2 linked regions of the Canis lupus familiaris genome follow. The protein of the gene in region 1 purifies or fractionates together with the protein of each later gene. This does not show direct contact. Links are inferred from orthologs where the notes say so. Each region holds a gene or a part of one and is shown on either strand. Other genes may lie near its edges. The genes, in order: CDK15 and FKBP5.

What was found.
Region 2: the proteins of CDK15 (region 1) and FKBP5 purify together in Homo sapiens (affinity purification with mass spectrometry; 3 studies listed by BioGRID and IntAct, counting the BioPlex papers as one, with this or other methods). This does not show direct contact. The link is inferred for Canis lupus familiaris from reciprocal best matches to the Homo sapiens genes CDK15 and FKBP5.

What each region holds. Positions count from the first base shown.
Region 1 is NC_049258.1:10,705,344-10,709,824, forward strand, and holds the start of CDK15 (cyclin-dependent kinase 15), read left to right. Parts: upstream 1-1,458; 5' UTR 1,459-1,990; coding exon 1,991-2,122; exon of another isoform or gene 2,123-2,213; intron 2,214-2,806; coding exon 2,807-2,956; intron 2,957-3,166; coding exon 3,167-3,264; intron 3,265-4,481. UniProt on the Homo sapiens protein: Serine/threonine-protein kinase that acts like an antiapoptotic protein that counters TRAIL/TNFSF10-induced apoptosis by inducing phosphorylation of BIRC5 at 'Thr-34'.
Region 2 is NC_049233.1:4,937,794-4,941,612, forward strand, and holds part of FKBP5 (peptidyl-prolyl cis-trans isomerase FKBP5), read right to left. Parts: coding exon 3,817-3,819; intron 2,867-3,816; coding exon 2,752-2,866; intron 1-2,751. UniProt on the Homo sapiens protein: Immunophilin protein with PPIase and co-chaperone activities. Component of unligated steroid receptors heterocomplexes through interaction with heat-shock protein 90 (HSP90).

The sequences.
Region 1 (4,481 bases):
TTCACAATACAAGATGAAATCCACTTGTGATGAGCACTGCATGTCATATGTAAGCGATAAATCACTAAATTCTACATCAGAAACCAATATAACACTACATGTTAACTAACTGGAATTTAAATAAAAATTTGGAGAAAAAAATGAAATCATCTGAATCTTCTGTCCTTACTTGGGAATATTTGATAAAAAAAAATTTGTTTTGGGCATAGAGCTAGAAAATATCTCAAGAAGTCACATAATATTTTTCCTTGACTTTCACCGGACAATAAATTATTTTATTTTGAAAATTCTGAAGGGTATTTCACAATTTCCCTGACTAGCCCATCTAGTATCTAAACATAGTGTTTTAAACCTTAAAAACATTAGGCTATTCTCTTTAAGCAACTTGTAACTTAGATGAATAACCTCCCAGCAAATAAAAATGCTAGCCATTTAAAAAATCTAAAACTTATGATAATTAGAGGGTGATAAAGTAAAACTGTCTCAGATCTGATCTGGGTTTTGTATGATACAATTCACAACTTCCTTTTAGGCAAAAGTCAGCATTTCTCATAAAATGTATTATATCAAATTATGATAAATTCTAATAGAATTAAATATTCCAGGAAATTAACTTATTTCACTTTCCATAGATTGTTGGTCAAAAGTTAAATAGTTTTTAACCAAATAATTTTTTTTGTATTAGTTAACTGGTCACTTCTTTTTTTTTTTACTAAATGTCTCTAACTTATTATTATTTTTTATTTTATTTATTCATGGGAGACACAGAGACACAGAGAGGCAGAGACATAGGCAGAGGGAGAAGCAGGCTCCTTGCAGGGAGCCGGACATGGGACTCAATCCCAGGGCTCCAGGATCACACCCAGAGCCAACTGCTGAGCCACACAGGCATCCCTAAATGTCTCTATTTTAAATGAATCTTTAAATTGGCCTGTTTTACATCTCTTCTCTTATGGCAATTTCGAAATAAAACTTCAATACCTACTCATCATTAAATTCCCTGAAAGGTTTTTTTTTTAAACTCTTGAGGTTCAGATATCAAATGTACATAAATATTGTTGTAGTAATAGACATGATTAAATTTTTCCCTTAATGATATTGATTGTACGTGTTTGTGTATGTGTGTATCCGACATTCTGTCTCACTCTGATTAGTACATTATAGTGGCAATAATATTAGGAATGTATGAGAGAAAAGGTTCTGCTCAAAGACTGCAAAGTAGCTCAAGCTAGTTCCTTGACATGTCATGCTATCCCTACGGTAAACATTAATTATATTGATGTGGCAGGAAGGAACGGGAGAGTGAGAGGAAGAGAGAAAGAAAAGATATTTCATGCAAACCCCTCTCTCACCATTGGGTAACATCATTACCTGTGTAGTAAAAACACAGGTGCTCACTACATCTTTTTTGAATCAAGGAACCAAGGACTATTGCTCTGGGACTGTTAGATACTGCACACTTGCTTGGAGACAAAGAGATGAAGATATCTTCCCGTTCTATGATTCTGTGGTTTCTTTGACTACTAAAAAGTTGGCTAGATTGCAAATGTAAAGTCTGAGAAGAAAAAATGCTTTCAGATGAAAGGCAGGGAGAAAATACTGAAGCGTCCACTCCAGCTCTAGGGAAGCCTAATGACTATCATTATCATTGACATGGTTAGGCAGTGTGAACTCATAAAAGCCCTGTCTGGCAAGGGCACTACCCTGTGCCTGGAATAAGAACTTTGTGCCAACATCGATCCCATCCAATATGAGCTGTCCTGCTTCCAGTTGTGCACATAAGAATGCAGGCGGCCACCTCTCCGATGTAGTTTCTTGCACGGATCAGGAAAAACTGCTGAAGTCATGAGGCTGCTCTGCTCAGAGCCCTCATGTGAGTCATATGAAAGCTCCAGCGGTGCTGACCTCTGGCAGAGAGGGAGTGGAGGAGGACAGGAGAGGCAGAGGGGAGAGGTTCCAGCGCGGGTTTTCTCCTTGAACCTAGAAGATTATGGGTCAGGAGCTGTGTACAAGGACTGCCCGGCCTGGCTGCAGCTGCCACCGCTGCGGGGAGGGAGGCGATGCGCACAGCGGCCGGGGGACGGTGCCGGAGCCTGGGCCGGCGGCGGAGGCTGCGATCCAGGTATTTGCATCGCAGGAGGAGCCTCTCCCTCTGCTGAGAAACTAAGGAGTTCAGACACTCCCTTTCTGAAGCAGGGTCAGATTTTTCTGCGGTAGGTCTAAACCCATAAAAGGAAAATCCTATTAAAGTCACAGAGAATTTATGGCTGTTGTTATCAAATTTGGGGATGTTCTTGTAAACCAAAAGGGAAAAATAATCAGATGCTTTGGGCCGCACAAAACTCCGCTGACTTAAAGTTGAGAAAGTAATTATTCTCTTGTAATCTCTCAAGTACTGTATTACAGAGCTGAGCCTCAGAAAGCAGGCTGCAGTATTGGTATGCTATGGATTCAAAATCTTGATGATTCCCCAAAAAAGATAAATTAAGAGGACATGAGAAGAAAAAAAAAAAGGCTGAGCTAACAGAAAAATTGGAAACCATCCATCAAAGAGATTTAAATTAACTGAAGTGTTTAAGACGTATTTTTAAGTGAAGAAAGAATGTAGAGTTTCTGCAGTTGATATCATTATGGTCTTTTTTAAGGATCTGGCTTTCAAGAAAGGACTTGCTTTTGGGGGGTGTAGGAGGCTTAGAAAAACATCTGAAGAGTGACAATCAGACAAATGAAGAAAAAAACAGTTTATGCTAGCCACTGAGTCTTGACTTTGCATAAATTTTATTCATGTACTTTCCTTTTTCTTTAGCTAACAGACCTAAAAGAAGCATCATGTTCCATGACTTCATTTCACCCCAAGGGACTTCAGGCTGTGCATGCCCGGAAGTGCAAGAGTAAAAGGCCACGGAGTAACAGTGATTCTTTTCAGGAAGAGGATCTGAGGCAGGGTTTTCAGTGGGTGAGTGAACAGCTGATGTGGATGAAGAAGAATTTAATATGTACTTGTCTGGGGATGTTGGCCCTTACTTCCAGGGCAGTTACTAAGAGGGCCTTCCCAGGTATACTCTGGCAATAATGTCTAATTTCTCTGGGGGATAAAAGTCACCTTAAAAAAGAAAAGTGTTCTTTCTCTCTCTCCCATCTCTCACCCCTCCCCAAACCCCTCAAGCAGAAGAAGAGCCTCCCTTTTGGGGCAGCCTCATCTTACCTGAACTTGGAGAAGCTGGGTGAAGGTTCTTATGCTACAGTTTACAAGGGGATTAGCAGGTACGTGACTCATAGCTGGGAAAAACTCTGCAGATGAGGATCCCACCCCCTTTGATTTAAAATTATAGAGCCAGGTGACACACGGCAGAAGTTCAGGACCTGTGCAAGATACTATGGTCAACACAAAGAGACGAGATGATTTAAATAGCCTTGCAAGAAAAATAAATTTCTCTTGCCCTAATTAAAATCAGCCCCCTGAGATGTTTATCAGCTTTTCCTCTCCTTTATTGAATTCAAAGTATAATTTTTCTACAACTGACCCAAAGAACAAGCACCACTCTTCACAAATGCAATCTCTAAAGGGTTTTTCATATTTCTCTCTAAAACACAATGGCCGAAGGTTGTAATGGCAACCCTGAGTTTGCTCCTTCATTCCTTTTTTTACCTTCTTGGAAGAAACCAAAGTTGGCTTCTACAATGTAGGATATATGCAAAAAATGATTAGTCCTGGGATGTGTACACTTGCAAAATATACAAGATGGCTGGAGGATAAAAATAATGCTAATCCAGAAGCCAGGTGCCCATTTTGGCTAACGAAATTTGCTAAACATATGTGAAAGATCCACAAACTTCATTGCTTTTTAGTCAAGGTGGGAAAGTCAGAGGTCTGATTTCTTTAATTTATGTTACTCCAGTGGAAAAAAATAATGTCTCAATAGTGTTTATTTCTTTTTTTAAGATTTTATTTATTTTATTCATGAGAGACACACAGAGAGAGGCAGAGACATAGGCAGAGGGAGAGGCAGGCTCCTCTCAGGGAGCCTGATAAGAGGATTGGTCCCAGGACCCTGGGATCACAACCTGTGCTGAAGGCAGACACTCAATCACTGAGCTACCCAGGTGTCCCTCAGCGGTGTTTAAATGTTTATTTAAAAAATGTAATATAAATATTGCAAGGCTATGTATTATTTATACTAGCAATCATGTTATTATTTATACATGTTGAAACTATAAAGTATCATTTTAAATATATTGTTAATTGAATTCCATAGACTATCTTAGGAATTAAGAATATGAAATATTTCCTTCGAGGAACTCACCTGAGTAATAAGATAAAAAATATGTTGGAAATACATGTTTAAATGCATAGAGATATATGTACAAGTATATTCACTGCAGCAAAATTTATAATAGAAAAAGTAAAAACCTGGTCACTTCATTAATGGAGGACTGGCTAAATAATCAACATGCAGTGAAATAGTGTGCAGCCAACTAAA
Region 2 (3,819 bases), on another chromosome or scaffold:
GAATAATAACCTACAGAATAAAATAAACTCCCATGAGTCCATACTATTATAAACAACTGAATAAATAGGGGAGGAGAAACCCCTCCTTATAGCAGAATTCCAATTACATTGAAGAAGGAACAATGGAAATAGAAAAATCACCATTAGGCAAATACTACAGTTATAACCGTTGCATACAAAAGTCATCCATGGGGAAAAAAAATCATTCATGGATGCTAAAATCACTGTTAAGGTGTAATGTAAAAGAAGATCTTGGGATCATCCATCTCCTAGTAGTTCTCTCCCAATGAGATACTTAGAAAGGCAAAAATAGGAAATTTTACAAAGCAGAACTTGGCAGATCCCACCTTAACCAAGGGACCCAAGTTACATCATCACTATCACATGTCTCCTGATAATGATTGAACTGAGAAAGGCACACTATTGCTTATATGATATTTTTCCAAAAAATGTGTAACTTCAATCTAATCAGACAAACCCAAACTGAAGTATATTTTATAACCAGACGGTTGTCTTCAAAAGTGCTAAAATAATGAAAATCACAGAAAGACTGATCCAACTGTCTCAGACTGGAGAGACTACATATCACAGTAGATCCTGAATCTGACCATGGACCAGAAAAAGGACATCAGTGTGGGAACTGATGAAACTCACCTAAGATCTGTAGAACAGTTAATAGTATTGCTCCTTGTTAATTTCCTGATTTTGATAAATGTACTGTGGTGAGGGATGATGTGAACATTAGGAAAAGCTTGAAGCATATAAGAAAATTCTCTGTACTAGTTTCACAGTTTGTAAGTTGAAAATTATTTTAAAACAGAAAGTTGAAAATAAAGATTCCCACTGAAAATACTACTAAAAGCAAGATCTGATTTAATTTAGCCTGCCCCAAAGTTAACTCTGCAGTGGTAGCTTTGCGGCATTGTTTATAACTGGGAAAAGTTTTTCCTTTTAATTTGGTTACCAAAATCCTCCAGTTTAGAAATATACATTATAAACTGTTGAATCTGAGGAGTAACTGTAACATAGGGAAAAATCTCCATTTTTGTATATGCCTGAAATTTTTCATTAAAAAATTAAAATGTGTAGTATAGATAATCTTTTCACGTACTTGCTAAAGATAATTTTCTATCATCCTTGTGACTTTCATAAACATTTAGAATTCTATCATGGAATGCTCAGTGCTAGCAGGACCTACAGGATCACTGTAAAGAAAGGAAGCTAAAGCCCAGAGACTCAAGGGTTAGTTAGAGTCCGCTGAAGCCAGAATCCTCTCTCTGACTACTGGTCTATGTATTTCTCTAACATCTGAGCTCCTCTTCGTTTATTCTAAAACTTACCATGAATGATAGCTACCTAAACATTTCAACTGCAATAATATAGTAATACTATTTATAATTGTTTCCACCTAAATGAATAACTCCATTTGAACTAATCTTCCAGACTCCCCAAAATGAAACACGGGTCTCAAATAATAAATACTACAGTAAAGATAAGAAAATCAACCATTCTAGCTTACTGTTCCAAAGGAACTCTAACTTATTTTTATTTTTTTTTAAGATTTTATTTGAGAGCAAGAGAGAGAGAGAGTGAACATGAACAGGGGGAAGGGTAGAAGGAGAGGGAGAAGGAGACTCTCCACTGAGCAGAGAGCCTGATATGGGGCTCAATCCCAGGACCCCAGGATCATGACCTGAGCTGAAAGCAGATGCTCAACTGACTGAGCCACCCAGGCACCCTGGACTCTATTTTAAATAGGCCTTTTATAATAGTTCATATTGCCACCCTTGTTTAGTGCTTTGATTGTTTTCTTAGTGGAAATATTTCTGTTTTCTCACAACTCTCCTTTTTAAAGTATTTCAGCTTTATGAAGCAAATGAATGGCATCTTTCAAACATCTATCCACGCAGAAAGCATCTACCGAACACCAAATGCATGTAAGGCCCTGTAGGTGATGCTGGAAACAAAAAGATGAAGAAAGATTCTGGTCCTCAAGGTGCATACTGGGGAAATGGGTAAACACTGATTACAGCATAAAGTGGCAAGTGATGTACATAATGGTATACAGAACAGGCTCTGGGAGGAACAAAGAGTGACTGGGTATCCCAGTCCTCGACAGTATCTCCTTATTCCCAACACAGCAAATAAAAACACAGAATAGCTTTAAGTCATCCAGTAAATGGCAAAGCAACCTGAACCCAGATTTCCTACACAGAATAGAATGAACACTATTATCAATTATGATCTAACTAAAATAAACTTTTTGACCTTGAGGAAAGCCAGTGAGATGGGTTTGAGAGCTCTGAATGGCATTATAATCTAACTGCTCTGTTTAGAACTCTGTACTCTGTGCAATTTATATAACTTTCCTGAACTCATTTTCCTCATCTGGAGATAATAAATTTTATCTCGTAAGGTTATTTTAAGAAATAAATGAATAAATATGTAAGGCAGCTAATATAGTTGCTGGCACACCAAGGAGTCCATAATAGACTTGGGACTTGATGGATAAGATTACCTTTTCCTCACCTTCTGGGTCTGCAGAAGCTCGCACAGTACCTGGCATGGGCATGCTAGATAAATATTTACCAAATAAAGTCAGTATTAAATAAATGTTGAATTTAAAACTATTCTCGGGCTATATTCAATTGTTTATTGCTATAAATAGATTTTTAGAAAGAAACCTCCCTTTTCTCCCTATAAATGGAACCCAATTTTTAAGGACCAGTTCACTGTCACAGCGATACTTACTTTCTACTGTTGCTCCTTCATTTGGGTTTGAATATCCTTCTCCTTTCTGTTTGATTCTTCGGATAATGCCTCCATCTTCAAATAAATCTTCTCCTTTGAAATCAAGGAGCTCAATCTAGAAAGGAAAAAAAGGATTTGGCTGAGAAAAAACCAAACAGAGCCAATTTAACATACTTAAAAACAAGGGCAACCAATTCTCCTTTCATTTTACAAAATAAAACTCTTTTATATTTATCTATGTATCTCAGTTATTGGAAAAGTAGGAAAAAAAGAACACTGCACTTTCAATACCTGGAAAGAGCCTTCATGTAATGATAATGTCTAGGACTGCATCCTGTGGGACTGCAGTGCAAAGACAGACAGGAAACACTAGGAGGGCTGCCTTGTGGGCAAAAAGCCAGAGCTCCAAGGTGCTGGCCCAGAACTATTTTGTCGGACTCTAAAGGCCACCACCTTTCCAGCCCAGATTCATGGAATTCCCTTTTTAAATGTAAAAATAAATCCTATGAATCAGGCTTATGGACAACTAAAGGTGTTTTTTTTTACCTAATTATGATGTTTCAGGCATTTCCTCCCTTCATTTTTTAAGTCAGATCTTGACAAATATATATATAATTCAATACAGGATGAATAACATTATCACCACCTACAGCTTCTAATGAAGAAGTGAGATCTGTGACAAACAGTAAGCCTGTATAACATGAAAATATCTTACAATGTGGTTTCAGTACATTTCAACACTTACCTCCCACATTTCCAACCTGTTTTCTGGTCAATTTTGGGTATGTTATACTCACACCACTGACCAGAACCTTTATTTCTCAAGCCTGGTGTCTTTTGTTTATTTGGATATAACTTTTCTGTGCCAGAAACACGTTTCTAAGAAAGCATTGGCACACACCCCTTGGGTTTGTGGGAAACAATTCAAGAAGCCAAGCTCCAAAATAAATAAGTCGGATCTGATCCTCAATAGCAAGCTTAGCTCCTTGTTCCACTGCCTGTTGCTTCAGAGCCAGCACTATAGTAGAACAGATGCTAAAAAGGCAACATCACACACATACTTACCTC